Drosophila melanogaster: one gene and its partners. The protein of the gene in region 1 interacts with the protein of each later gene in a pairwise test. Each region holds a gene or a part of one and is shown in the gene's direction. Other genes may lie near its edges. The genes, in order: CG10750, sala, Pglym87 and Nup62.

What was found.
Region 2: the proteins of CG10750 (region 1) and sala interact in a two-hybrid assay, tested with the Drosophila melanogaster proteins (one large-scale study listed by BioGRID).
Region 3: the proteins of CG10750 (region 1) and Pglym87 interact in a two-hybrid assay, tested with the Drosophila melanogaster proteins (one large-scale study listed by BioGRID).
Region 4: the proteins of CG10750 (region 1) and Nup62 interact in a two-hybrid assay, tested with the Drosophila melanogaster proteins (one large-scale study listed by BioGRID).

What each region holds. Positions count from the first base shown.
Region 1 is NT_033779.5:19,296,999-19,304,584, forward strand, and holds CG10750 (uncharacterized protein), read left to right. Parts: upstream 1-3,256; 5' UTR 3,257-3,374; coding exon 3,375-3,487; intron 3,488-3,549; coding exon 3,550-4,004; intron 4,005-4,059; coding exon 4,060-4,347; coding exon of another isoform or gene 4,348-4,349; intron 4,350-4,401; coding exon 4,402-4,541; 3' UTR 4,542-4,602; downstream 4,603-7,586. Other genes in the region: CG17564 (uncharacterized protein), read right to left, coding at 1,438-1,589, 1,644-1,931, 1,990-2,444, 2,617-2,729.
Region 2 is NT_033779.5:11,480,535-11,488,834, forward strand, and holds sala (spalt-adjacent), read left to right. Parts: upstream 1-4,172; 5' UTR 4,173-4,497; intron 4,498-4,646; 5' UTR 4,647-4,680; coding exon of another isoform or gene 4,681-5,193; 5' UTR 5,194-5,220; exon of another isoform or gene 5,221-5,249; intron 5,250-5,547; 5' UTR 5,548-5,675; coding exon 5,676-5,687; intron 5,688-5,757; coding exon 5,758-6,174; 3' UTR 6,175-6,415; downstream 6,416-8,300. Other genes in the region: CG43355 (uncharacterized protein), read left to right, coding at 4,681-5,193. UniProt on the Drosophila melanogaster protein: Likely to be involved in the establishment of the head.
Region 3 is NT_033777.3:12,228,431-12,235,987, reverse strand, and holds Pglym87 (phosphoglyceromutase 87), read left to right. Parts: upstream 1-3,258; 5' UTR 3,259-3,310; coding exon 3,311-4,189; 3' UTR 4,190-4,343; downstream 4,344-7,557. Other genes in the region: Cyp313a2 (cytochrome P450 313a2), read left to right, coding at 1-54, 108-681, 755-918; Cyp313a5 (cytochrome P450 313a5), read left to right, coding at 1,341-1,494, 1,551-1,751, 1,811-1,996, 2,047-2,119, 2,177-2,303, 2,358-2,919, 2,974-3,134; CG3916 (uncharacterized protein), read right to left, coding at 5,669-5,836, 5,897-6,532.
Region 4 is NT_033778.4:16,342,863-16,350,343, forward strand, and holds Nup62 (nucleoporin 62kD), read left to right. Parts: upstream 1-1,514; 5' UTR 1,515-1,718; coding exon 1,719-2,903; 3' UTR 2,904-2,966; downstream 2,967-7,481. Other genes in the region: CG7997 (uncharacterized protein), read right to left, coding at 144-173, 233-324; wcd (wicked), read right to left, coding at 3,013-4,533; CG15710 (uncharacterized protein), read right to left, coding at 4,807-5,604. UniProt on the Drosophila melanogaster protein: Essential component of the nuclear pore complex. The N-terminal is probably involved in nucleocytoplasmic transport.

The sequences.
Region 1 (7,586 bases):
ATTGAAAATAGAAAGAAGTGGGAGCGAGGAACGTGCAACGATATCCAATCATAATTATAGAGTCCAACGCCTCGAGTCGATGAAATTTACACAACAAAAGGTGGCCGCGACATTTCCAGCTGTCAGCATTAATTAAAATGTTTCCATACATCACCTCGTCCGACTTCTTACACCTTCTTTTTTCGGCAATCCAATCCCGAAGACCCAAAGACCAGGCAGAGCGGAAATGTCACCAGCGGGCACCGGGAAACCAAAACACGACTAGAAGCCGACATGGCATAAAGATGTCAGAGAAACCGAGTGGGTTGGGGTATTAAAAACATATTCTGAATCGCATATGTGTATGGATGTTTTCAAACTTATTTCTGTCCGCAGGGCGTTTGTCATCCCGATAATTTGTGGTGCTGATTAATTTTTGCCACTCCTCGCACTGAAGAAGTGCAAACTTTTGGCAGAGCACAAATTCAAATGTTTAAGCCAATTATTTTGCCGGTCAAAGGGATTGTTTTTCTAGCATATGCATAATTAACACGATGACATCTAAAAACTGTTTTATCGAAATTGTTTTATGCATTTTCGCATCAATTATTGAAGTTGAATCTGTCAGTTAGCCGGCATTAAAGTTGCATTGCAGCAAAAGTGTTGAGCCCAAACCCAACTTGTGCATTTGCTGAAAAAGCGGAGGTCGTGTCAAGAGTTCGACAGGTTAAACGACGAATCGAGACTCCTGTCAATAAATAATTGAAAATCAGAGCCGCCGGCCGAATGGTCGACTATTGTTTTTTGTCACCGTCTCTTTTCGGTGGTAATTAAAAAAGTTTTTCCCTGCTGAAAAATAGCAAGAAAATTTTCAATTGACCAGAGAGCGGGTTTTTTTTTTTAGACCGGCTAATTGTCATGCAGAGCAGTGGTAAGAGGAACATTTCCCGGGCTGACGTAATTAAAAAGCCGTCAAGCGAAGTTGGCGCAGTTAGCGCTAAATGTCGTCCAGTTGATGCACAGACTCTGGAGCTTAAGTACTGGCCTTCCATCCCGCCTGCAGATCTCTAATTAAATAAGCAAGTGTCACATTTGTCTTGAGTGCCCGACAATTCGGTGACTTATGATGACTGCAGAGCAGGACGCGACGAAAGCCGCTCCAGGACCCCAATTCGGACCATCCACTTGGACGGAGGCATTGAGGAGCAGCGGAGAAGATTTATGAGGTAAAAGCAATTAGAAAGTGGCATTAACAACCGAATGCAGAGCTCAGCACAATTAACAATTGCCACAAGCTGCAGGAGCAGGCTAAGAGCAGCGAACCATCACACAAAGCACTTCTTTCTATAGAAACAAACAAACGTTTTAAAAGTTTCGCTTTTAATAAGCTTTTATAGTTGTAATAGCTGTGAGGTGTGCCTAGTCTTCCCTATGAACTCTTTGAATTTTGATATCCAATTAGCACAGCGACTTATCTCTGGCTTCCTCGTGCTTTATCGAGGGATCAGATGATTCGATTTCCTTTACAACGCCAGTTAATATTTCCACTTCGCCCATGATGGCATCCAACACCTTGTCCAAGTCGCCGCGAGCGGGAAACGAATGTACATCTAAAATAATAAAATGAATAAATTATTTAATAATAGCAAGATTTTTTGACTAACCTCTTCGCCGTAGAAGGATTCGGTGAAGGTTGGTAATCGCATCTATTGTGCGCTCCTTGTCCATGTAGTTGTTGTTGATGGCGTCCTTGGTCTTGGCCAGGATCTTCTCCCATCTGAGGCACTGCACTCTGGACTCGTTGTAGGATCGTTCCAGTTTGGCCAGATCGTTCTTTAGACCCAGCACAGTTAGAGCCGCATCATTTGTGATCTGCACCATACGCTGCCGCATGTTCTCGATGTCCTGGAGCTTTTGATGCTCCAACTTGTTGATCTCCACTTGAGCCAGCACTGTAGAACAAAAAAAAATTAATAACTTTATTTCATTTTATAAATTAGCAATGCTCACTCAGCGCATCACAGCGATCGGTGCAGTCCTTTGGCGAGACGAATATGTCGGATACCTTCACCACCTCGTCGAGCACCTTCTCGTAGGGCTGGAACTCCTGCACGGTGGCCTTGAGAGCCTCCCGAAAGGCCTTGAGTTCGCCGATCGAGTCCTTGAAGCTCTCAATGCCCTCGCCGAGCTCCTTATGGTTGAGCGTCTCCGCTTGGGCGGTCTTCTCGGCCACTCTCTTTTTGTCCGCGCAGTCCTTGATGAAGCTGTTCACCTCGATGAAGCGCCGCCTCAGCCGCTCCTGGATCTTGTACATGTTCCTCACCCGGGCGGAGTTCAGCTTGGTCTGCCGCTTGGCACTGGTCAGCATCTCCTCCTGCAGCTTGAGCATGGCTTCGTGCTCGCGGAGATTGTTCACATATATCAGTTCGATGGAGTCGCCGGCAGAGTCCGAGTTCGGTGGAATTCTACAGGAAGTTACGAATAGGTCAAATAATTGATACCAGATAGAGACATCCTTGCAACAGTAAATTACGAAGCTGTAAAATTTCTCAAAAATCTCAAACTGCACTACCAGGATCATTTTAGGATTGGGTACTTCTCTTTCAGCCTTTTTTCAGTGTGGGATTCACTACTTACACGAAGAATTTGTTCTGCTGCTTAGAGCTGATATAGTCCCCCACGGCATCCTCCGGCCGCAGGTCCAGATTTCCCAGAACATCGAGCTTCTTGGTGGGCTTCACGCGGGGCATCTTGGATCTCTTTGCCGAAAGTAAAAGCTCAAGTGTACGTTTTTGTTAGTTTTTTATATTTTTTTTTGCTTTGGTTACCGCGATACAGCGCGGATTGTGCGTTTTGTAGTAGTAGTTGTGTGTGCTGTGTGCTTACTTTTCAAAGTGTGTTATTGTTTTGTAATAAAAATTAACAAGACCTACTTGGAACATGTTTTTTATTTGGGTGACACATAAAAACAATTGGTTGCCAGGAGGTTCTTTTATTACCGTGGCAATGGTTGAGAAGGTGTAACCAGTTTTGTGTCATGGTAACTGCACAATTTGGTTTCTTTCGAAAAAACAAAATAGGAAGCTTCTTCGGCAAGCCGAACCTAATATACTCTTGATACTCGATGATGATTAATTTTTAATCAACAACTATAGAATTATGATATCTTTTCAATTGTTTTTACTTGATTTAACGACTGGTCGTACTTATGAAGGAAACGTCAGCAATTGCATAAATATCTGAATGTAGTAATAAAAAATGGTTTAATCCTTTTATCCTTGACTGTGCTGTCTGCCCATATACATGTAGAATTACTCATCACACATCGTTCTCCAATAGATATTCCCCCAATATATATCAATATATTTGAAAAGATTATATTTTAATAGGACAAGATGCCGCGACGTAAGCCCACCATTAAGACCGATGTGATCGGGGATCTGGACCTCAGTCCAGAGGTCGCCATCGATGACTATCGCGTCTCTCGCCAGCAGGACCAATTCTTCGTGTAAGCTAAAAGAGCAACTACAATATGTAAGTCATACTATTAATGAAACTTGGATGGTCTAGGAAACCGCCCAATTGGGATTCGGCCGGGGATAACATCGAGATGCTGTACATAGCCAATCTCCGGGAGTACGACGCCATGAAGCAGGTTCAGATCCAGCTACTCAAAGATGCCAAGCGGCAAGCCGCATTAAATGTGCAGCGCATTCGCAAGATGTACAAGATTCAGGAGCGCCTGCGCAAACGCTTCGTCGAGGTGAATGGATTCATCAAGGATTGTGCGGACAAAAAGCGCAGTGCGGATAAGTCGATTCGCGAGGAGACCGTTCTCCACGCGGAGGTCACCAAGGAGATAGACGAGTTCAAGACCTCCATTGCCGAACTGAGCACCTTTCGCAATGCGCTCAAGGCCACGGTGGCTCAGTTTCAGCCATACGAGAGGGTCCTGGAGGAGGTAGTCGAGGTGTCGGACATCTTCATCTCAACGAAAGACTGCATCGATCGATGTGACGCTCTAAGTGGGTTCTCCACACCTCCTGTAATTTCCATTCTAAATTTGTTTTTGTTGTGCAGTGTTGGCCCAGGTGGAGATCAATAAGCTGGAGAGCCAGAAACTCAACGAGATCGAGGAGATGCGCCTGCGAATGGTTCAGATCACCAGCGAGGCGGCCTTGACCGTTTTGGGCCTCAAAAACGATCTGGCCCGTTTGGATCGTTCCTATGTCAGCTCGCGGGCCACTTGCCTCAAGTGGGAAAAGATACTAAGTGCCTGCAAGGACACCACGTCGCTCTACAACCTGGACAAGGAGCGCATGTTTGATGGCATTCAAATCCTGTACCGCATGCTCTGCAAACGTCGAGGTATGTCCTTGAAATCCTTTGACTCTAGCTGATGTACCAACTCCACCCCCGCAGACATTGTTCCCAGCTACCACAGCTATGAGATCGACAAAATCATGAGCTTCATCATGCGCGAAATAAGTCTTCTTTCATCGGTCCTCCAGGAATTGGAGTCCAATAAGGGCGATAAAGTCGGCGCTGGACGTATGTGCTAGTCGGAAAATATAATATTTTTCATGGAGCATAAATAAATAAATAAATGATTTTAAATCCTTTAATTAATGGAACGAAGTTCAAATAGCTTTTACTAATTTCCGTTTGGGTTATTTTTACTGCAAATATTTAAAAAAAATTCAGCCGAATCAGAGATTAGAAGGGTTGTAGCGAAGGAATAAATGTACGACTTGATTTATGAGCTCCAAACTGTTTAGGGTTTTTTGTTTGAACCGAGAGGCCTTACATCCTTTCAGATTTACTCTCATTCCTAAGAACTTAAATGGGCGCTCCACCTTCAGCTTTATGGCACCCATAACATTTGTCTAACCCCAAAACCTTGCCAGCCCTCCCAAAAAAAAAAAAAAAAAAAAAAAAAACTAGAGAACCCACAACATTCGGTTGGGCATTGTTGTTCCGTGCCCAAAAGAAAATCAAATGGAATCCGATAAAAAGGAAATGCATTCGAGGACTGAGATACCAGAGGCTGGGCAACTTTCAAGTGGCACACGAACTTCAAATCAGGGAAGGACAAAGCGATGGGCAAGAAAATAAAGTTGGCAAATCGAATCTGCGACATCTTTCCATTCAATTGCCAATTGGATTCTATGGCCCGGGGATAATCTAACTTAAGCACAGATAATTCTTTTATGCGAACATTTTGATTTCTGTCCTCGCATTTACAACAACGTTGGCTCGAATGGAACTACCAACTAATTTTTGTGCCCGAGAACCGTTGCCACGCCCCCGCTCCAGCTCCACCTACCGCCCACACGTACGCCCACCCAGGGCATTGAGTTGAGTCGCCAGCGGAGGCGTGGCACTTGTCTCTTATTCAATTTGCTTTATTTGATTTGCGATTTTTGCTGATATCAGCCCGAAGGAAAACTCCCAGGACTACCGACAGGACACTCGACGATATACGTAGCCTAAAAATCAAATCAAACGGAAAGCAAACTAAAATGCACAGACATTTATTTCGAGCAAGAATAAAAAACAAAAAGCAATGGTAAGACGAAGCGATCGAAATCGAAGTAGTTCGGCAAAATAAACATTTGGTTTATTTAAATGGACCGTATGGATGGGCCACAAGTTGGCCCGCAAGTTGGCCCACAGCGCCCGGCAGTCATTTTTTGTACATTTCGGATTTTACTTTTGAGTGCGACAGCAATTACATTAAATTGCTTGGCGGCATGGGGCTGGCTCTTAGTAAAATCATGCAAACACTTTAGATTTGTTGCCTGCAATTTAAATAATTGAGTAACGCATTCTATGCCCGCTTAGATTTGAGTTTTTGAAGTGCCTGTCATTAAAATGAATCTTTTAGATAAATGAGCAGCCGCCGCCTTCTCCGAATTTTATCATCGCAGATACCAATTCATTCTGTCCTGTTCATATGAACAATAAAGCCTAATGGCATTCCCAGCTAATCCCTTAATTGCATTACAATTAACTGTCTGCGAATTAAATAATATTGCCAGCAATGCGGTGTAGGTGAAACGAGGCCACGCTGATGCGAGGGTTGCTTGAGCATTTCTTGAAATACTTTCAGTTTCGAAATTGAGCTTTAGAATTGTTTATCACAGTTGTTGTCCCAATTACTTCGAACTTTGCAGATAAACTATGCGCTTTGAATGTCAAACTGCAATGTGATGTAGAATTTGCACATGAAATGGGGCAAAGCATATTTCAGACTCCCATTTTTACACATTTTGCAGAACTAGTTTGAGCAGACCCTTTGAATTTCTTCCTTCCAATTTAAACTTGAACCTCCTCTCAAAATGCAATACATTTATCTTCCCTATCATTTGAATTCTAACCAATTCTTTCCTTTAAAATTTAACAAATATATCTCTTAAAAGCAGACAACTATTAGCAAGGGAAAACTACCTTTCCGCCCCCGCAATTATCCTTTTCGTAAGTTCTGCAGCTTCTTGGCGCTTTTGCTGCCATTTGCTTTTTTCCCGCTTACTAGACGAAACACTTAATTTAACTTTACAAGTTCTTAATGTGACGGCCAGACAGAAAAGTTGGGCGGCGGAGGACGAATGGCTGCCCACTTGTATGGGACACTGGCGACAAATAGCAATTAGAGAAACAATGCCTGCAAAATGCACGACTGGCAGGCCGAAAGGAGCAGACGAAATAGGCGCAATTAAAGGACACTTTGCGAGGACAACTTGAAGCGAGGACTTTAAGTCGATGCGAGCACATCCTGCCGGTAGCTGCAATAAATGTCAAGCGATTATCCGGCACAACAATGGCAGGCTCAGCAGTCAAAGGAGCAACCAGTCGAAGAAGCCAGAAGGAGCTTGATTAATACTATAACACATGATTTATTATGCCTGTCAATCGGTGGAGGGGGGGGGGGTCCCTTTATGAAAGCTCGCCTCAGAGATTGAAACCGGAATCAGAGTCAGAATCGGAATCGGAATCAGAATAGGAATTGTCGTTGGAGTGTCGGAGATGGAGCTGGATTTACTGACGGAGTCGTCGTCGGGCGACGGGGCCTGTGATAAGATGGCAAATCGGCTTATGCCCTGGGACAACAACAATCGGCATCATCAATTCACTTGGCGACATTAATATCCTCTCTCAAAGGAAGCGGGAAGGGATCCAAAAGCTGTCGGCTGACATTTGTGACACCTGCATTGATTTGTCTTCCTTTTTTGTACCCCGTTGCCAAGCAATTCACGGGGTATGCTGTACTTGGAGATTGGAGCAACAGGCAAATATTTTGAGCTGGTAGGTATTCTGGAAATAACGAGTTATACTTAAACAGCTTTTCTCAAACTCAAATTTCTTGTCACCTTTATCAAATTAATCTTGAAGGAATGCAGTAGATTTTAAACCAGCTTGGGTTATTTGGTAACCTCCCTTAATTTGTAGGGTAACATTTATTCGTGAATTCGATTTGCTTGCCTTTAATGTGTCATCGGAGTTGGTGGGCGGAGATAAATGCCACCTGCCGCCCACAACTCACTTGACTGAGTACCTTTCATGTCTTACAAATGCCTTTTTTATGCGCTAATGTTACTGCGGCTTCT
Region 2 (8,300 bases), 7.8 Mb from region 1:
GTTAGCCAAACTACTTTATAAATAGCAAGCGTATATTGCAGGGTGGGGCACTTTGGCTATATCATCACACTTGCCACATTTTCCATCTGCCTCTGACTTTCGCCTGCCCTGTCGCTGTTTTAATAACGTGCATGCTGCGCATTTGGGATAACATCTGAATTTATGTAACGACACAAGCACAAACAAAGATGGCAGCCAGACAGGCGGAACGTGAAAAGCGGAGCGGAAAAGCGGTAGAGCGGGAGGGACAGCGACGATTTCCCGGGGCCCAGCCGAAGATGGAGCGAGAGGGGAACAGGGTCCTGGAAGAAAACTCAAATGAAAACTGATGCGGATTAGTATTTAAAATAATGTCCTGCAGGGATATAACTTGTGTCCACCCCTCAAGCCGTGGGCCTCATTCCGTTTGCTTTGCTGCTTTTATTTTTTCTCACTTGATTTTTTATTCTTTTGTATCCTTATACTTTTCTGCCATTTTAATTCCTTCGCAGCGATTTTTTCTTTCGGAGAATGTTTCATAAAATTTATATTTGCAGATAAGTGTGCTTTCGGGTGGCAGGGAAAACGGACGTTTTTATTACGGGACAATTTACATATTTTTCTTGTTAAAATTCCTCAACATTCCCCAGCCAACTGGATGGTCCTTCGTGTCATATGAACTTTCCCCATTTTCTTGTTCCTGAATTAATGTTAATTTTTATTACACTTACTGTATCGCTCCTGCCCCACGAACCGATCCCCCATTTCATTTACATTCAAGTTTGTTTGTCTAAACGAATTGGAAAAAAAGAAGAAAACCAAAAAAAAAAAACTTGGAGGGAAAATACCAATGGCGGAGTCCAGATGAAAATGTTAATAATAAAACAACAAAATCCGAATGAATGCGTTTCAAATCGAAAAATAATAAAAATCGAATCGCTCTCCTGTCTGCAGGACATCAAGTCCCCCAGTCGATGTCTCATTACGTATTCCCCGAACAAATTCTATTAATTATCGTTATGTCCTTCTGCTGGGTGACTGCAATAGCAGGACTTCCAGCTGTTTGTCCGCCCGTCTCTTAATAAAGGTAACATGGGGGATTTTAATTTCTTTCAATAAAGAATGCTTAGCTTCCCTGAAAAATGGTAATCAATTTGCTTCGAAATTATTTGTAAATGTAAGCGGTGCTTAGAGGAAATTTCTATTTTTACATTCCCCAGTTGGACTAGCGATATCCATTTAACAATCGAAAATCACAAAAATAGTTTTGTGTGCATTTCCCGTGTGATATTCAGCTACTAAATTATTCCCAATTCAATTTGCAATGGCCAAATAAAATCACAGGCAGCCAACTAAAGAAATGGGACATCGAGCACTCGTACTGGAATATGCAGAGATGAGCAATTTGTTGTTCCGAAGCTGCTGGCGCCCGTCATGGAAAATTCTAAATGTTTCAATCAACTATTCGCAATATTAAATATTAACGTAAAACTCGAGTGGAGTTGTCTCGGACTGACCCTTTCGATGCCGTGCCCAAAAGGTCATCATGTGTCTGCAAACACACTTACATCGTATGGATACTAGAACGTACACAAAACAAAATATTATGTCCTTATTTTTCCAACATGTTTTTATTATATGTAAGTTGATTGATATCTGTATTTAGTAAGGAGTTATAGTCAGGAATATCCTTAAAAATATAGGAATTCTTTCAGTGTACTGAAGCTGGCAAAGTAATTTTGGACATTTTTCATCATAAACAGCAATGACTACGCTTGCAGTTGGGGGGCTCAACCCCTTCTGGGAATTTCTTCCTTGGCCGGGCTTTGATTTCGAATTGGATTTGAATTCGGAATTTTTGGCTTTCAAGGACCGCCGGAGGTTGAATTGGAAATGGCAATGGAGTCCGAGTTGGTCAAGTTGGTCAACGCATAAATATTTCTCTTTGTTCAGCCATCGCATTGGAGCCAAAAAAGAGCATTACGTGAGTGTGCGAGTGAGCGTGTGTACCTGTGCACCACACATCCTTGCCTGTCTGCACTCATCCCATCCTCCCTGTCTGCTCGCCATCAACCCAGCACCAGCACAAACAAACATGCAGAAGGATCTGAATATGGAGTGGTGGGCAGCTGGGAAGGATACTCAGATATGAGCAACGGTCGAATGGTCAAGTCAAAGTTATTGTCATGTCATGTAAGTGGCAGCCACCCGACGTTCACACCCCTTTCGGTATCCTGTCTCGGTCAGATTTTCCAATTTCATCATCATCTTCCATACAGTACAAGTATGCCATTTTGTTTTCCCTTAGCGGCACACAGTGGGTACCAGAATTGTTTTTCACAAAACCTTTTCATATGCACATACATTGTTGTACATACGACAACACCATAAATATATGCTTTAGGAGCATATTCGTATATGAACTAACTTAAACATACGTTACATTTTTGGGCATTATAATAGAACTTGAAGCTCTTGGGATAAAAAATATATAAAAAATTATTTTAAAAAAAAACTTTACTCATTTCTTCTGGTCTCATGAAAAAGCACTTCACGGTTTGAAAATTGTGAAGAGTATATGATGAAAAGCTGACACACGTGCGCTGAAGTTAAATGTATATACCACCAGCCAAAAAAAGCATTATCGCAAATTCACCGAAACTTTTCATAAGTTTGGAGAGCGCTGGGGGAGATCGTGTTCGAGAAAAGGTTTTCCCCGTGGGTTGGGTAAAATGTAAATATCGGTGGTAATGGCCGCCGCCCCAGGAGGTGGAAAAATCAACTGACCAGTAACTTTGGAGCCAACTTTGATGGCATCTTGCGAAAGTTGAAAGTGACTTAAGTGAAATTTCCACCTCAGGCGGCTCAGCAGCAGGACGACCTCGTCCCCTTTTCCATGGATTATCGAGGGGTCACGCCATGAACATGAGTAAAAATTAAATTGATTTTCCTCGGACATTGTTCGGACCTGTTCAGAAACTCGGTGTGCTTTTCTTTTTGGCCCTTCATGGGCTTCTGTCAACCCAATGTATTTTGTCGCATCCCTCGGAAAACTTGAGCTGGGCGAACTCCTTTAACTTGCCTATGTGGCATATTAAATTGGTGCGCAAATAGTTGTGTATTTTATTGACTCACTTTTACAGCTCAGCCAAGAGTATTTCGCATCTGCCCAAATTTTTAGCCAGCAAAATATTAAGTTGAGAGCTTTACCCCTGGAGTCTACCAATGCCGCAATACCATTCCTTTTCTACTCGACTTAAGCGACAATTTCATTTCAATTAAATTATAATTATATCTTCAGTTTGGCCCCATCAAGTTTGAGTCAAACAAAAAGTACAATTTTCATTTTCACCTTTGCGAAAGACGAGGCGGGCGTTGATAATTCCCCAAAATTGTTTGACACTTCAAAGTCATTATGAAGATAGCAATCACCAAACCCTGTTCCTCGGTCCGCTCAACTTTTCTCCAAGGGTCCTGGCATATCTTCACGACATTCACTCCCTGCCACTTCCAAGGCTCAGCAATCCTTCAGCTCCAGCCTGCCCCTCGTCCTTTTGCCACTTTACTCAATCCTAAGATGGGAATTGCCACGTCTGTCTACATACCTACATACCCGCAGCGCTTTTTGATGTAATTTTGGCATAAGCCAAAAAATGTTTCCTTTTCCCGAGATGTCTTTGTCTCCACTTCATTCCCCGGCGAGTGGTTTCCGAATGCGACACGCCCTGACAAATTCATCCGGGGAAAATGAGGAAAATGGCTGAAAATTAAATTTGGAATTAAAATTTTGGCCCTGGGCACATAACTTTATGCCGCTGGATTTTCTTTCCGCCCAGAAGGATTTCCTTACTCAAGGATAAATACTTAAGGCAAGCGTAGGCATAATAATAGCTAAGCAGCTTCTCGGAAATTAAGACGATTTAGTTGTTTAATTCTTTGGTTATCACTAGACTCCACAAATAAAGAGATAGATTGAAAATGTAATTAGATAATCAAATATAATTTTCACAGTTTTAAAGTTTAACAATATTGCTTATTTAAATGGTTGCTTTTCACCTCCGAATTTACTTTTAATCTCATAAGCATTTGAACTTGTAGTATTTTTGGCGGCGATATGTTATCAACAAACAACTCTTCCAAAAATAAACCTATATATTATTTTTTGGCAACCAAATACAATGCCACTCTAAATTGTAAATAACATTTAAGCAGCTGATCCAATTCTTGTGTTCAAAACAACAAAATTCAAAGCAATTAATTGTGCGCTGGTTTTTCTTTTTGCCTTTACTTGTATTAGGAATTATTCTTTAAAATATTTATTGATAGAGAAAAAAATATCCAGACTTATATATATCAATGAATTCGGCCACTGCGTCAACAAATCGAATTCTAACTTGTTTTAGCTATTAAAAGCAACAAATAAATGACGTATTAATAAGTACGCTAAAATAAACCAGTTGCAAAACAAACATTTATTTACTGTATATTGTTTCCATTAAGATAGAAATAGGAAAAAATGTAAGTCAATGAATATATACATAGAAAATATTCTTATCAGCTTACCATATGTATGTACAACGGACGTATAAACATATATAATAATTTTTGCATATAAAAAGATTCAAATGCATCTTGTTCTCAAAAATATTAGTCATACATCTTTTCAGATCGTTGCTCTAAATTCATCTGAGACTCGATCAGATGGGCTGTCGGCGATTTTCTGGAGGAGGACATCACCCACACGGAGGTCCACCTCCCCCTCGTCACCATCATCACCATCGTGGCAGACATGGTGCTGGTGGACGCTGTGGACACGGACACCAGCACCAGCCTTTTCCACCACCGCCTCATCGCCCCCATCGACATGGAAGTCACTTTTGGGAGGGATACGGTCCACCTCCACCACCGCCCCATTATCCACCACCAGGGGGATATCTGTATGGTGGCCACCATTGGCAGGGATATCCTCCTCCGCCACCTCCGCCTCCTTCTTCACACCACCCCCCACCATCTGGATCTCCAGCAGGAGGGTGTCCGCATTGCGGTTGCCCAGGAGGCGGTCCACCTCAAAGTGGATTTCCTGGTACCGAAAGACCTCACAACGAAACCTCAAACGACGATCAGCATGGCAGCTTCCAATCTCCAATTCCCGGTGGCGAAGTTCCTACTGATGAAATACCTGGAAAAAATAAATACGAAATCATTGATATTTAGACAACAGTAGAAAATGTTTCAAAAAAGGTAAAGTCACTATGTTATATCTTGTATCTGAGTAATGTCTTATTAATGATTTTATATTATCCGGATTTTCCTGATCAAAAAAATCGAGTAATGTTATGTTGATAAAAACTTTTCAAATATCAAATAAATAAATATAAATAAACAAATAATTTAAAAACTCCTTTATATTTCCGTCATTTCAATATGGTACTGAATTAGTATTAGTATTCTATTCAATTCCGGATTTTTCTGTTTTTCCATTTTCCCTCTTCCAATAAACTGGTTTATTTTATTTTCCATCGTAACCAGATGTTGACGGCAATACTTTTCTGTGATTTCCTTTTACAGGTAGAGACTCAAACTTAAGTCCCTCAGCCAGGTAGAATACCTTTCAGCTACCTACTTGATATTACCAAATCGTGGTATAAAAATCAAAAAAATATTAGAGCCGCCTCAGTACCGAAACTTCAGCCACGATGAAACTACTGGTGCGTCTTCTACTATAGAAATCTTAACTAACTTAGAAATATTTTTATAATAACAAATTTATAACTATAGATTGCTCTGTTTGCACTGGTGACCGCTGTGAACGCTCAGAATGGATTCGGCCAAGTTGGACAAGGAGGATATGGAGGGCAAGGAGGATTTGGAGGATTCGGAGGAATCGGCGGGCAAGCAGGTTTTGGTGGACAAATAGGATTCACTGGACAGGGTGGAGTTGGTGGCCAGGTGGGAATTGGTCAAGGCGGAGTCCACCCGGGTCAAGGAGGATTCGCTGGACAAGGTTCTCCAAACCAATATCAGCCTGGTTACGGAAGTCCTGTGGGATCTGGCCATTTCCATGGAACTAATCCAGTTGAGTCCGGTCATTTTCACGAAAATCCTCATGAATATCCGGAACATCATGGCGATCATCACCGTGAACATCATGAGCACCATGGACACCACGAACATCATGGACATCATAGACATTAGTACAAATATGAGAATACCCATGACAAAATTAAAGGAATGTAATGCTATAGTTCTCTACCGTAAATTCTTAAGAAACACTTGCTTGTTTCTGAAGTCTCTATTGTATCTAATGTCCAGAATTGATTTGTAAAAGTGATTCTTTATCTAAAACCCCCTTGAGATCCACTATACAACGTGCCTTCTTGAATTTCAGTATCTAAAATGAAAAAAAAAACGGAGTCTCAATAAAAAAGTAAATAAGGAAACGGAACCCTTTACTCTGTCCATTTTGGTTGAGGCATCTATAAATTATTTTGCAGATAGCATACAAGCATATATACCCCACACATCCCATCTCAACTTTTGCAATCGGAGAAAAGGATGCCGTCGACCGCTCCCAAGCGACATTTTCTGACCAAAGCAGCTGACAGAATTGAAAAATAAGCGACGTCCGACTAAAAGGGGGAATGGGGAGGGAATGGTAAAGGGTGGGGTTCAGGTGGGTGGGGGCTGAAGGTGAAAAATAAAAAATGGCGTCCAGTCGAGTGCTCAACCTCAAGATTTATAACGAAGGAAAAAAAATAGAGTCGAGGTGAGGGTGGGAAAAAAGAGCACACGTTAAAATAATGCAAAAGCTGAAGAAAACTAAAAAAAATGTGCGGGAAAAACTGCCACCCACACGGCCAAGGAAAGAGTGAGAAGGAAAACCGCACACACACTGATGCGCGCAACAACGGAAATGGAAAGGATAAAATTAATTTTTCTCCTTTATTGCCATTTACTTCACCTGCTGCTGCTGCTGCTGCTTTCTCCCACTCGCTCGCGCTTTTCCTCGAAGGAGAACGAAAAAGTGGCCCGGAATAGCGGGGCGGCTCAAAGTGGGTGGTGGCCAAAGGGTGAACCACCCAAGCGGCAACATTGCTGACGCTATCAAACACCACAAACACATTTAGTTTGCGGGAATTTGTTTTTGCGTCGCTCACTTTTCTTGCTACTTCTTTTTCTTCTGGCAATTTGCGCCATAAAAATGTGAAAAAAAAATTTGCAAAAAATAAGAGCGGAATAAAAATGCCATGAGAGGCAAGAAGAAACTGTCCGACAAATAAAAATGGCATAAAAATATTCCACTCACCTGAGAGGTGCGAATTGGGTCCCCAATACACTGTCATATAAAAGGATGAAGATTATAGAAATTTAAATCTTTTAAAAATGTTGTAATTATATTTTAAAAAAGCTGTGCAAAAATATTGCTTAATATTTATTAGGGAATTTTTTATTCTTGCTTTTATAGATAGTAGTAAAAACTCTAAACTCCAATTTTAGATTAAAGATTTGTATTCGCATCCCTTACAAATGGCACCAAATCAAAAGTTCAGTGCCGGTACTTTCACAATATTCTTTCTTCTTCGCTTTCTTCATCTCTGAACAACTCGGTCCGTACTATAAAATATCTATAATAAATCTACTTTTTTTTCAGAAGCACACTGAAAAACTCACTGAAGCCTCGTCAAATAAAAAAGATGGCAAAAAGGAGGGAATTTAATACAAAAAGTCGCTCACATGTGAAGGGAAAGGGCAGAATGTAGCCGTGTCCAGTTCAAAGGGAATAAAAAAGTGGAAACCAATAACAGCAATGGGGATGCAGGACAGTCAGCAGGAGGAAGAAAGGAAACATATCAAGCCGAGGCGAAGTGAAGCAATAAAAATGAAATGGGAGTACCAGGAAATAGGACGGGAAATATTATGTCCCCTCTTATGGATCAGATAACTAGATGAAAGTGGAAAATGGGATGACCTCACCTAGAGTCCAGCCAAAGTTTCCCTTTCTCTAACCCTTGGTTAACATTGCGCATACGCAATGTGCGACGACGCCATTTGGGGTGGGGAATTATGAAAGTGACCGCTGGAATTATGAATTTGCTTGATATTCCCAGCCAATCGGAAGTGCAACCAACAAATTTCAGCCAACCACAGGAAGGCTTTTTGAACCTGCGCTTATTGCATAAAGTTATGTGTATATATATCATAAATCCATAACGTGCCATACACCCTCATTTTTGAAGGAAAAAACCCAACAAGGCTCGGTTGTCGCTGGCTTCAAATTACAACCACAAACACAACGGAAATGGGGGCGATCGCGGGGGTAA
Region 3 (7,557 bases), on another chromosome or scaffold:
CTTGAATGGCTGCGAAGAAGAGACGCTTCTGCCATTAATAAAATGATAAACAACGTGAGTTGAGATTGCAAATTGAAGATTTACATTTTTGTAACTTTCCTATTTAGATTCTGGACAAAAAGCTAAATTCAAACCCAGAAAATTATTGCGAGTCAGAACTAAAGACTGTTATACACAGGGCGATTGAACTTTTTCGTAATGACGAAATGTCCTTAATGGAGTTAGGTGCCGAATGCAGCAGTATGGTTCTCGCTGCTTTCGAGACAAGCGCCCACACAGTGTATTATGCCCTCGTTTTGCTGGCCATGTTTCCTGAACATCAGGAAATGGTCTTCAATGAGATTAAGGAGCACTTCCCTTTGGCCAAAGGAATCGAGGTTACCCACACCGATCTTCAACAATTGGTTTATTTAGATCGCGTTTTGAATGAAACCCTGCGATTGATGCCATCCGTTCCGTTCAGCTCGAGGGAGACACTGGAGGACTTGCGGCTATCAAATGGAGTTGTCATCCCCAAGGGAATGACTATCAGCATAGACATATTTAACACTCAACGCAACACTGATTATTGGGGCTCAGAAGCAGCGCAGTTCAATCCCGAAAACTTTCTGCCGGAAAAAATCCACGACAGGCATCCATACGCCTTCATTCCATTTTCAAAGGGAAAGAGAAATTGCATAGGTCGGTTAGCCTTGGAAAATACTAAGTATAAGTATAAGTAAGGTTTTAATACAACATTTTTTATTTGTATCAGGCTGGCGATATGGACTGATGTCTTCGAAACTAGCTTTAGTCAAGATACTCAGAAACTACAAGCTAAAAACCAGCTTTCCCTACGAAAATCTGGAATTCGTTGACCACATGGTCATAAAGCTTGCTCAGTCACCACAACTGGCATTCGAACGACGAACTTTATAACATAACTTTCTTATTTTGAAAATTCTATTATATTGGCTTTAAGAATTCTTTTTATACAGCCATCACAAATAAAACGGTTTGGTAGTTTTGATTATGATTGTTTTTAAAACTTGTAAGTATTGATTTGTTTCACCCGAGATCTTCTTGGCCAAGATACTTAGAAACTACAAGACAAACACTACTTTTTTCAAAGCAAGCCTTACACCGGCAAGGCTTCAAAGCAATCTCAAAGTAAGTATATGAAAAATAGGAATTTATTTTTTATAAATGTGCAAAAGGTCAAAGTGGAATTGGCACATTTATGAAAGGGCGAGTTAAAAATATTCTAGAGCAATTAAATGCTATGCATGTTTCACCTATATAAAGCTCGTCCGAATTCCCAAATATTCATTCAAGACCGTTCACCCAAATCGCAGATTGAAATGCTTACGCTGCAAATTTTTGAGGCATTTGCAATCATTTTATGTGTATACTTTCTATGGAGTCGAAGAAGATTTTATATTATGATGCTAAAGTTACCAGGACCAATGGGCTTTCCGTTTATCGGACTTGCCTTTGAGTACATTCGCCTAAAACGTAAGTAATTATATTTTCGAATTTAATTAGGTAAAACTAAAAACGTTTTTACACAGGTAAGATACGCCTGCGTACCATTTTATTTAAAATATATGGAAAAACGGTATTGACTTGGATTGGCTTAACTCCCGTCCTGGTGACCTGTGAACCTAAGATCCTTGAGGACATTTTCACGTCTCCCAATTGCAGCAACAGGAGTTCTGTGGTGGACAAGGCCATTTCATCATGTTTAGGACTGGGCCTTCTGACCCTAAAGAGTAAGTGAAAAATTCTTATAATTTCTTGTTTCTTAATTGACAATCAATTGTAAGTATAGATAATCATTGGAATGAACGACGAAAACTTTTGTTACCATCGTTTAAGAATAATGCTGTTCTAAGTTTTGTGCCAGTTTTAAACAATGAAGCCAATTTCCTGGTGACCTTACTCGCGGAATTTGTCGATGGGGGAGATATAAACTTACTTCCAGAACTCAATAAATGGTCATTCAAAATAGCCGCTCGTAAGTAAATAGGTTGCTATATTCTTATTTTATTAACTCTATAATTTAAGAAATTACTATGGGTGATGAAGTGAGAAATCAAGCGAACTACCAGAACGGAAATCTTTTGGAAAGCTACAAGGCGTATGATTATTTCTATCTTATATTAGTAGATTTATTTATACTCTATTTATTTTATAGCCTTAACAACCTAATACCCATTGGTGTTGTAATGCCTTGGCTCAGGAACAAGTATCTTGGAAAGCTATTTAGCTATGAAAAACGACGACTAGAGGCCGCAACGCAGTCAAATGCATTCATCAAAGACGTACTTATAACTCAGAAGTCAGAGATTTCCTTCTAAACATATGCATATTTTCAGATAATAGACAAAAAGCTGAGTAGCACAGATAATAGCTCAGAACCGGCACTAATTGACCGCATTCTCAATCTTGTGAGAATCGGAGAACTTTCTTATGACGACGTAATGGGGGAATTTTCTAATATCATATTTGCCGCATCCGATACTTTATCTATAACAGTCAACAATGTGCTTATCCTGATGGCAATGTTTCCTAAATACCAGGATAATGTATTTGAGGAGCTAGCAGAGGTGTTTCCTTCAGGAGGAGAATTCGAAGCCAGTCATGCGGATCTGGAGAAATTAGTGAAGCTGGATCGAGTTTTGCATGAGACTATGCGTTTAATACCGGCCGTTCCATTACTGATAAGGCAAACTTCCCATTCTATTCAACTATCAAACGGATTTTATATTCCAGAAGGCGTAACCTTAATGATAGACATTTTTCACACTCATCGTAATAAGGATATCTGGGGACCACAGGCTAATGCATTTAATCCCGATAACTTTCTGCCTGAAAATAAGCGAGCAAGGCCACCTTATTCCTATTTACCTTTTTCGAAGGGGAAGAAAACATGCTTAGGTGGGTAACTTTCTTATAATTCCTTTACACTATTATAATATATTATGTACTTAGGTTGGAAACTCTCGCTGATATCTGCAAAGCTAGCTCTAGCTAAAATATTACGAAATTATATGCTGAGTACCACCTTTTTGTACAAGGACCTTAGGTTTATAGACAATACCACTATGAAGCTGGCTGAGCAACCATTACTAGCAGTGAAACGTAGAATATAATCATTAAAGAATATTTCCATACTGTTAGAATGCATGAAATAAAAACCTCAAAGTAACCTTATTTCAACGAACTTTTCTTACTGTCATAGGTTCAACCCGGCACTTTTAATAGAAAATCCATTCGAAATGAACACGATATAGACTGCAAACACTTTCCAAATTCAAAGTGTCCCAAAATGTTGGCTCTGGCCAGGAATTCGTGGTGTGGCCAATTGCTGTGTCGCGTGGCGAACATCGAAGCCCGCTGCCCGTTCTCGAAGTCATCATCCGGCGGAAAGCAGGCCGAGAAGAAGGGCAAGTACAGGATTGTGATGGTTCGTCATGGAGAGTCCGAATGGAATCAGAAGAACCTATTCTGCGGATGGTTCGATGCCAAGCTATCGGAGAAGGGGCAGCAGGAGGCCTGTGCCGCTGGCAAAGCGCTCAAAGATGCCAAAATTGAGTTCGATGTGGCCCACACCTCGGTGCTGACCAGAGCCCAGGAGACACTCAGGGCCGCCCTAAAGTCCAGCGAGCACAAGAAGATTCCGGTGTGCACCACGTGGCGCCTCAACGAGCGCCACTACGGCGGACTGACGGGACTGAATAAGGCCGAGACCGCCAAGAAGTTCGGCGAGGAGAAGGTTAAGATCTGGCGCCGCAGCTTTGACACCCCACCGCCGCCAATGGAGAAGGATCACGAGTACTACGCCTGCATTGTTGAGGATCCGCGCTACAAGGACCAACTGAAGCCGGAGGAGTTCCCCAAATCCGAGTCCCTCAAGCTCACCATCGAGCGCACCTTGCCCTACTGGAACGAGGTCATAGTGCCCCAGATCAAGGATGGAATGCGTGTCCTGATCGCCGCCCACGGCAACAGCCTGCGGGGCGTGGTCAAGCACTTGGAATGCATCTCTGACAAGGACATTATGAGCCTCAACCTGCCCACTGGCATTCCTTTCGTCTACGAACTAGACGAGAGCCTCAAGCCTTTGGCCACGTTGAAGTTCCTCGGCGATCCGGAGACGGTGAAGAAGGCAATGGAGTCGGTGGCCAACCAGGGCAAAGCCAAGTGATCCGTGATTTTGGGTATACCCAGCAGCCTCCGAAGAAGGTCAGAGCAATCAGCTCAATGCACTTGTATGCCAAACAAAAGCGGCGAATCGAAAGTGGTGCTCACTGTGGCCAGGCGAATGTCAAGAAGCAAATAAATTTATTTGATTTTAATTGACAATGAAGAGTCAACAACGATGGGCTGGCTGGCCGTTGGTCTCTTGGTCTTGGTCTTGGTCTTGGTCTCTGGAACTCAGGCGACGGTTCTGGGTCCCAGGGTCTGGGTCTGGATGTGGGTCTGGGTCTGGGTCTGAGCCAAAGTCCAGCCGTATTTATATGTGTTTCCATTGCGCTCGTTTAAGAAATCAGGGAATCGAGTGTGTCGCGTCAATTTTAATTGCTGCGGGATGAGTCTGAGCAGCCTCTGGCATTCCGAACGGGTCGAATTTTAATTTGTTTAAATGAAATACTCATTTAGGGCTTATTGACAAACAAATTGAATTGATTGATCTAAATGAATTTATATGCTGAGCGCGGTGCCCAGCGAGACTCAGATTCCCTCCGAATGAGATGCGTTGAGATGGATAGGTAGGTGGTTGGAGTTTTGGTGTTTAGGTTTAGTCTTCTGAGCATTTGACCCGTTGCTAGCCGTCTACCATATGGGAGTTAATTTGGGGCCAGATTTTCCATGTTAGGCTCGCCGAGCGTGGCGAGCTTTGATCCAGTAAATTGAGAGCGTGAAACGAGCTAGGAGACGGGCACTCTGCTGGCAAACTTGGGTCCTCTGCAGGATCATCCTTCCATGAGGGCTGTGCGAACTACAATATCTTGCTGACTAGTGTGGCGCGAAGAGGCTGAGCTCCACATTATTTGAACCTAATTACACAGACGCAGTGGAGCCCAGACCGAAGTTAAAGTTAAAGTCAAAGTCGGCGCCCCGTCAAATTGGTATACCAATTGCAGCATAGAAACGGCGGGAACATAAAAATGTTTGCACTTCGTTTTTGTCGCGCATAAAATCTAATATCGAATTACAAGGCCCGGTCTTTGGAGAGGAGTCCAGAGTTCGCAGAACAGTGTGCGTGTCAGCGAAACTTTGTGGCAGGCTCCGTCGACCAAGCGCTCCGGCTCCACATCCCCACGTCTCCACATCCTCAAGCTCGCATCCACATCCCGCTGCCATAAAGAAACTGAATTGAGTTAAATGCGCGATAAATTGCTTTTTGCATTTATCATGGTCGCCCTGGCAGGCGGCAGCCCAAGTTTTCGCTGGAGTCGGGCCAAGCCTAGACCACGAAGATGGCAAGGCGACTCTGTGGACGCCACACCCGGACTGCCGAACTCCTCCACCCTCCCTCTGGCTGTGGCGAATATTGAACAAGATTTTTAATTAGTCGCCAAAGCGTAGAAAGTGGGGGGATGTGACCAAGAACGCAAGACTTCGAGGAATTTAGTCAAGTTCGGGCAGAGACTCGGTTTATTTATGCGCTACAGGTCGGTATTTATTGGGCCAAGTCTTGGTTGATCACCTGACTGATGTAGGGCAGAAAACTGGACACCCGCGTGTAGACGTCGGGTCTGCCCTGGGCACAGGTGGATGATCCGTAGGAGACAATTCCCACCAAGTGCGGCTGCTTACCGGGCCTAATCAAGGGTCCACCAGAGTCGCCCTAAGTTTGGGAAAGCATGATTAATTCCGCTTAGCGTGATATTACTTTTTGTTTACTCACCACACATGCCCCTTGACCCTGGACAGCCAGTGCGCAGATCTCGTTCCGAGTCACCCGAAATCCCTTTTGATTGCAATCCTCGTTCGAGATGGTGCGATAGTTCAAAGCCTGCAGCTGATCGGGCAGAGTCGCCGAGGAAGTGGATGGACTGGTGGATCCCCAGCCGGTGAGGCGTACCGGAACCTTCTCGCCAATGCGATCCGAGCCACCGATTAGAATTGTACTGATATCGGATCGCTCCAGGCGGAACGGCGGAGTAACCTTGACCAGGGCAATGTCATTGATAATGCGAGGATTCATCGAGTACTGGGGATGGACGTGCTTGGTCACCAACCGGTGACGTAGTCCACCGGCCTTCCAGTTAAGCGTCCCCACGACCACGCTAACGTCCTCGACCTTCATCTTCTCCATACAGTGGGCCGCCGTAAGGACGTGCTGACCGCTCACAATGGATCCTCCACAAAAGTGCTGCCAGCGTCCACGTCGCTGCATTTGCAAGGACACCTGGAAGGGCACCGTCTCGTTCACGCGCTGTCCTCCATTTATCCTAGTGGGTGATTCGGTGGTCGAGGTTACCACGTCAGCTAGTCCTTGGCGAAGGATCAACAACATGCAGAAAAGCTGTAGTACTACCATTTCAAAATACGATCACGATTCAACTGTTGGAAATGAATTGCATTCCACTGCAACCCATCCATTTTATACATCTCCATGCAGAACAGCCTTATCATTTATTTGGCAATGTAAACATTTAAATTCCGGTGATCTTGAAATGTAATGTGGGCTGAATCGGTGTGACCTTTCCCAAATATCTCCTACAAATAACACATATGTGCTCATGTACACTTAACAAAAATACTTTCCTTTTTGTACATTAATGTAATTCAATTTAATACATATATTTAAAGATAAACATTGGCCAGATCTATGTAATATATACCATTTTCAAAAATTCGGATTCAAACAGTAGTCGAGGAGATCCCACCTGCTGCTCCGCTCCGTGCTGCCCAGTTGTCGCTTTGCGTGTCTGGTTATCATAAGCTAGCCGGGATGCGATCCTTCGATGCCATCATAATACTGGGCTTGACAGAAGCGCCTACCTGTTGTCATCAATTAGGTAACACGCTCACGCGACCGATAAATATTAAGGCAGCTCTAGCCGAATCCCCATATCGGTATCTGTCTATCTGGGCGACTGAGAATTCGTATCTGGTCGCTGTTCCCTGGCATGATCTCTTATCTGATTTGCAAATAAGAATCTGTTTAATTTGCCAATGCTCGAGCGCAAAACCAACGCCAGATCGCTGCATGTGTTGGTGTCCAGAGTCATAATTTATATTACTAGTTGGAGAGGAGTGGAGTGGGATTCCTCTGATTCGCTGGAAGAACGAGGTGCTGCTTGTGGTGCGATCCTGGGCAAATTAAGTACTAAAATAAACGACCAATTTACTGATTATGCAAAACACGCAATTAATTTTCCACTTGCAAGCGAGTGCGAAAATTAATTGCCTGCGAAGTGGAAAACTCATTCGACTAACCAGACTGATCCCGTTTGTTTATGTGGGGTTCCGTCATAATCATTTGCATACGAGTCGATGCAGAGGAAAGTTTTTCCAACCTGTTCTTGATTGACCCCAAAAATCAACATGGCTAGTTATACC
Region 4 (7,481 bases), on another chromosome or scaffold:
AACAAAAGCGTTATTGCAGCGTAGCGTGTAGAGTTCATGCCAAGGCCTAATTTTTACTAACTATTAAAGTTTATTTATTTTAAATGTTAGACGTAATGATAATTCTTTATGATCTAATCTAGTTGCTGGTAAATATTTCTTACCGCTCCCAGGACATCCAGCCCATAGGTGGCCTAAAATCGACAGAATTTCAATTAAGTGGCCTAGAATCCAATCAAAATTTAATACTCACTTTAGTGCCAGGCCATTATCGAGGCCCATGGATAATTGCAGAACCTGCAGCAGAAGAATCCCGCCCAGAAAGACGCCCCACGTTCCGTACATGGCGAGCTAGTGGCACCGACTGAATCCTGGCCTTTGGGCACCCAGGGAATTTATATTCTCCAGCGGGCGGCACTCCAGATAACTCTGTTTGGCAGGGGCACCTGAGGAGCTGGAGGTAGGGGAATGGCACCTGAAGAGCTGACAGAAGGTTAGTGGCTAATTGCTATTGCAGCGGAGTACTCCCATCGACTGATTGGTGTTCGCCGGGTGGCGCAAACAGCGGGCTTTCTCGATTGCAGGAGGAGCCGGAGCCCCTTATCACGCCAAGTTCACAGCGATCACAGGGAGCAAATAGAGAAAATCGAGGAGAGACCGAGAACAGGGGCTTTTGATTCTGATATGCTTTTGTTGTTCAATTCTGGCGCTGCTTGCCAGCTACACTGGTCAACAAAGTTGGGGAAATAGTTGGAAGCATAGTAGACTAGAGCACGGTACTAGTGATGGGAAAACATGTACTAACAAAACATAGGAACTATGGTCTTTTATTAGAAAATTTTGATCTGGTTTTTAAGAATAATTTAAAATTTCTGTTTTTGAGGATCAGATCTCAGATCTTATGAAAATCTTAAAAAGAATCTTATTACAAAAAAAAAAAAAACCGAAGGTCAAAGACAAGCTCTAATTGTTGTACCGCATTACGTTTGTACCTTAGGTAATTTTTCTAATTTTGTGGCTGGCAGCTCTGAAGAGAACCTACACAGGTACGCAGAACGAACCTTCTGATAGGAAGCACACATGTGTTTAGCTGATTTAGCAAAATGCAATTACTGAACTGAGTGCCGCTGCACTTTGGGCTTGTAATTGAATTCTTTTGACCCAAATGTTACCTTATCGCCTTTGCACTTACAGATAGCAAAAGATGACTAATTAAAGCCGGTGTTTTGTTATTGATTTTGTTTGTACGATTGACTACGTTTTCTTTCTGAGTTGGTTTTTTTATTTAAGTTGCGCGGAATGATTTGTTCCATGTACGACTAAAACTGGAGCTAAAACATAGCTCTCGACCAGTGTTGTTTGTCGATTTCGCAAGTTAGTTGATCGCTGGTTAAAAAAACGGACACAGACATAAATATATTTTAAAAGTGCAAAAAGTGATTGCAAACGTTAAAATAATATAAATGTTTTGGTTTTCAGCATGTTTTAGTAACAAAAATGTATCGTCGACTGAGCAAAGTACTTCATTTGTATTGCCAATTCAAAGAAATTTAAAATTTAATTTTGCCGCCCAATCTTCAAACTGCTAAGTGTTTTGGCTTGAAAATAGCTAGCTTGAGCTCAAATTTAGTTGATTTCCAACACCGACAACATTGCGGAACTCCAAGGAGGGGTCACACTGGTTGCTTTTGGCGTGTTTCGTTTGATTTAGATTTATATTATTCGTCTTAAGTTTAAGCATGGTATTCCAGTTGCCAACAACAACCGCCGCCCCGACCGGAGGCGCAACATCGTCGTTTTCCTTCGGCCTCAGCACAGGAACACCAGCCGCAGCACCAGCTTCAGGAGCAGCAACCACGGCTCCCGCCACAAAAACCACATTCTCTTTCGGAACACCGGCACCTACTGCTGGTATCGGTGGCGGAGATGCAGACAACAGCAAGGCGCAGGCTCCACCAGCCTTTGGATTTGGCCTGGGATCCGGGACTGCTTCAGCTCCCCTCACGCTGGGCACTCAAGCCGCCGCAAATCCAGCGTCCACCACTTCTGCGACCGCGACTGGAACCTCTGCTGCTCCTCCCGCCTTCGGAGGCTTTACGGCTCAACCAGCGGCATCTGTGGTGCCAACTATAGCAACCAGTGCACCCAACACCGCAGCTACCACAACTGGATTGCTGGGCGGGTCTGGATTGGGAGCTCCCAAGACCACGGCCGCTGCGTCCACAACTCTGACTGCAGCTCCGTCGGCCATAGCCTCCACGCAGGGAGCTGCACCGGCCCCAACTTTAAGTACTGGTGGTGCTTTTGCCAATCTCACTACCGAAACCAAGACCACAGACTCATCGGCCGTTTCCACGGCATCCCAATTGTCCTACCACCAACTTGAGGAGCATATCAACAAGTGGACTCTCGAGTTCGAGGAACAGGAAAAGGTATTCACCGAACAGGCCACTCAGATCAACGCATGGGACAAACTGCTCATCAGCAACAACGGGAAGATCGTCGAGCTCAACGATGCCGTGAAAAAAGTGAAAACCGATCAGCAAGTGCTGGACCAGGAGCTGGAGTTTATAGCCACGCAGCAAAAAGAGCTTGAGGACAGCCTGGGACCGCTTGAGAAGGAATTCGTTAATCTCCCGAGGGTGGACATGGAACGCAGCCAAACCTACCTGATGGTGGAGAATCTGGACACACAACTGAAGCAGATGTCCGAGGATCTAAAGGAGATAATAGACAACTTGAACGAGGCCAACAAGGGCCAGGACACCACTGATCCCATCATACAGATCGGAAAAATCCTTAATGCCCATATGAATTCGTTGCAGTGGATCGAATCGCAGTCGACGAACATCAGCAAGAAGCTGGAAGACATTGGCAAGATTCAAGACTCCCAGAAACGCGATATTTTCCGAGCTCCTTTCTAAAGATAAGTCCCCTTAATTTGTTAACTTAAATAAAGATGGTTCCATTGTAACCACAGAAAGAGTAATGATTTTATTTAAGAATTTATTGTAAACATCATACTGCCTTCAATTAATAACCCTTGAAGTACTTAAGCCTAAAGAGCGGCACCTGTTTGCCCTTAGTGGCAAAGGCCAGGAAGCTGCTGTGCGGCGAAAAGGCCATGGAGGTCACAAAGCCAACCTTCTCGTTCTGTGCCGGGAAATTGGAGTACACAGTGGCGCTGGGGAAATGGGCCAGCTTAAAAGCATTCGGCGCCTCACTGGAGCACATCGCCAGTAGCTCAGATGAGTGATTGAACTGGAGATCCGTGATGGCAGTCCGTAGGTTCATGAAGCGCTTCTCGGGTTGTGGGGCCTTGGATGCGAAAATGCTCTCGTAGTCGTAGATGTTGACCACGCCCTCTTGACTGCCGGTGGCCAGTAGGCGTTGGTTGGGAGACAGTTGAATGGACTCTCCATGTATACAGCCGTCGTCCATGAAGATGTGCTCGATGAGGTTCTGGCGCAGGTTCAGCACGCTGACATTGGAAGTGGAACCGCAGACGAGGATCCTCTTGGAGTCACTAGACCATGTGAATCCCTTCACTTTGCCCTCCTGCTTGAAGCTGTGCAGCAGCTCATTTGTTTTGGCCGTGAGCAGGTGAATGGCTCCAAACTTGCCAGCAGTGACGATAAATTTGCCACATGGAGACACCTCAAAGCGGTGCATAAATTCCATTGCGCCCGGCAGCTTTAGCTTCGATTCCTTGGCTTCCAGCAAGTCGTAGGAGTAGTAGAATGGTTTCACAGAACCAAAGAACGCCCTTGTGCCGCATGGAGCAATTCTGGAGCACGCCAGCGGGAACTTCTTGAAGCGCATGTTGTGCAACCTTTCGTTCTTTTGCCCATCCACGGCGTAGATGGTGGCTAGGCCATTCATGCCCGCCACTAGAGCAGCAGTACTGGTTGGATGAAACTGAATGCTGGTGGCATTACCCTCGGCATATGTGGCCCTGTTCAGGTCTTTGACCCGTTTAAAATTCAGAGTCTTCTGGGGCAGATCACTGTTCCGGGCTTTACGATCGATAAAGCCAACCGTCCGCAGCAGTTCTTCGTCGGAGGATACGTCCTCGTCGTCCTCATTTTTGACCTTCTTTTCCGCCCACTTGGGTTGGTTAAGCGTGCGCTGGAATCGCGCCGTAAGATACTCCTTGTACGATTTATCCTTGCGCAGGTGGTTCAGTGGACCCGTGTGCTTTGTGGCCTTCTTGACATCGCCCACCTGCAGGTCCTCGTCATCGGAATCCGACCAGGCGGCTTTCCGCTTGTCGCCTGGCTTTGCCTGGCCGGGATTTTCCTCCTGCTCGTCTTCGTCATCGTTCGGCAACTTTTGTCCCACGGACTTGGCTAGATTGGTGAGCAGTCGCTGCCTGTCGCCGAAGAGCACCTTTTCCATGGGCACCTCCACATAGTTGAGCTCCTTGGCCTGCGAGGCCTTTGGAATATAACGTTCCCTTTTGATCTTTGCCGGTTTCTCTTGCTCCTGCTGGCCGTAGAGGGCCTTCAGACTCTGCAGCTCCTCCAAACCGTCGCTGGACTCGTCTGAACTCATCGTGTTCGCTGGAAATGCACGCAAATTCGTTTATTTACGAACTTTTCTTTGGACCGCAAAAAAATATACACGTGCAGCTGGGCGGGAAATCGACTAACGCTTTAAATCAAAAATACCACGCCACGGTGGATTTATCGATAAGTGTGACCACATCGATAGCAGATCGAAATAGATATCGGTGGGATGGGCGCCATAATTTGAAAATTATAAAAAATATTACAATTAAAAAATATATTTATTTAATTTAAAATTAAAATGTGCGAATTTGTATAATCAATTATTAAAACTTTGCACAACTTCTGTAAATGTTACCTCGCTGACCTCGGTGATTTCAATCTCACGCTTTCTTTTGCATTTATCCGGCATCTGGCAAGTTTTCAGATGACGGTGAAGGAAACCCTCATATTTGTACTTTTTCCCACAACGATCACAGATTAATTCGGGCCTTCTCTTCCCTAAGATCTTTTTCTCCTCCTCCTGGGCCTTCAGCCTTACGATACATGCGTCGCACGCGTATCGACGGGTCACTTGGCCAGGCTTAAAGCAGGCCTTGAACTCCGTGCGACAAAAGACGCAATTGAAGGTCTTGGTGATGGTGTACGCCCCTTCGTAGGATTCATCCGTGGACTCGCACGGTATCAGATGGCTCTCCAAATGGGTGCGATACTCCAGATCCGTCCCGAACTTGACATGGCAGGATGCACAGGTGCGATTCATTGATGGGCTTCCATGCAGGAGCCTGTGGCCGATCAGGGCATCCACCGAGGAGAAGATTTTCTTGCAAATGTTGCACTGATGCTGGGACACGTCCGGCACATCCTTCATCATGCGTGCCAAGCGTCTTTGGCAGGCCATCAGATGGACCTTGTAGGCACCGGCCGTGCGAATCACATTAGAGCAAAGCGGACAGTGGAAGCGTTGCGTGTTGTCCTCCAGGAAAACTTTCTCCTCTTTTATCGGCTGCAAACAGGGCGCCACGTACACCTTGGTAACAATACCATTATCCTCCTGAATCGACAGTAGAGTAGCTGGTTCCAGCTCCTCGGAAATCCAGTTGCCAGCACTTGTCATAATCCTTTGTGGGCTCTTGTGTTTCGCCAGTAAGAAGCGTACGAAGAAAGTGAGAAAGTCGCCGGTCATTGTCATTGAAAGATAGAAAGTAATACTCGATACTCGATACTCGGAAACTGTCAGGGCTGGAAAAGAAAGAAAGCGTATACGCGATAGGTATGCCTCAAAAATGTAAACTTTTTAAATTTGTCCAGGCAATGAAATTCGAATCCAACGCTTTCCTCCAAAAAAAAATTAAACGTTTTATTCGGATTACCATAAATGAGGTGGTAATATATTTAGCCATCATTTAGTTTAACCAATTAAGCAAACAATCTTCATGCATTTTTACTGTCTAAAGCAGAAGTATACATACTATATATATTCGGTTTAATTTCGTTTTTAAATGAAGTAGGTCAGCTTCACAGTTTCGAACGCAGCAAATAAATTATGTTTTATGAACCATATTAAAGGCTTCTCCATGATTTCGTCTGTGTTAGGAATTATTTTTAAAATATCATCTTAGAGACTTAAATATAAATTTAATTTAAATTAATTTCTAAGGAAGATAGCTATAGTTCAATGGCAAGCCTGGGCAGAATAAGATCTATACTCGTAAAACTGATTGTTTAGTTTGGTCTTTGAACTGTAAAATGCAGGAACATGTCTTTCGAGTGCCTCTAATCCCCGCCCAACTTCTGGCATTGTGGTAAGCTCCGGATCCCTGCTTTATGACACGCGTAATGCGAGTCAAAATATGCAATTAAACAAAAACTTCTTGACTGGAAAAATATTTGCATAACTTGGGCAAACAAATGTCGGAGCACGTCGTCCTCGTCACCAGTCGACAATGTCGAGTTGTTGTTGAACTTGTCATTACACACGCACAACCAGGAGAGCACCAGTCTCATCCACCCACTAACCACCCAACCACCCACTAATTTACCCATCCACTGGGGGTGGTGCTCTCGCCAAAGTGTGGATTAATAGCTGGGGTGGTGCTGCTGCTGCCAGAAATCAGCGCTCGTAAAATTTACGTAAAATTCATTAAGCGCAACAAAAGACGCTGACTGCGTGGAGCAAAAGGGGGCAGGGGCAGGTTGGAAGGGAAAGGGGGGGTGGCGCCTGCAATCGCTTAGAGACAAAGCCCTGCATAGTTGATAAGACGCGTCCTTCGCGGGGGGAGGACGTTGCTTGTAGGAGCAGTGGGTGTTTAGTTGGGTGCCTGGGTGGGTGACGGCTTGGCATTTGTGGTGCCCTCGAGTGTCTCCTGCCAAGTCAGGCGTCAAGCCGCACGGAGAGCAACCAATTTTTGTCATTTCAAAGGGTCCAGCATTATTGTTGCGCCATCCAGGCGGCGATACACTAGCAAATAATTTTCTATAAATATTAAACATACTTATCATTAATTTTAAGCAGCGCGAAGTTGGGTTGTTGGTATTTCCTCAAAAGATTGTGAATTATTTAAAAAGCATACACTATTCTTGAATGTATTATATGCTTTTTAAACCATTTAGGCTATTCTTTTTAGTTATTTTGAAGTAAGCTATCTGAAATATGAATATTTTTCATTTCAGAATCTGTTGATTTCAGATTAACAGAATATGGGATTCTTTTATATCTTTCTACTAATCCTTTACGCAGAAGCTTTTTTAATCGTTTGCCTTAAGTAATAATAGCTAATCAAGTTCCAAGGATTGAAGTTTGTCTAAGAATCGCTGCATTTTCTGGGAGTGTTCCCCGCCCATTTTCCGCCCACTTCCAATATCCTTGAGTTCCTGTGCAGCGAGGCGCTGCGATTCAGCGCTCCTTAAGTGGCCTGACATTGTGGCAGATCCTTTGCAGTCGCACTCCCAACTCCCCGCCATGCCAGTATCCCCCATTCCGCGCCCTGCATC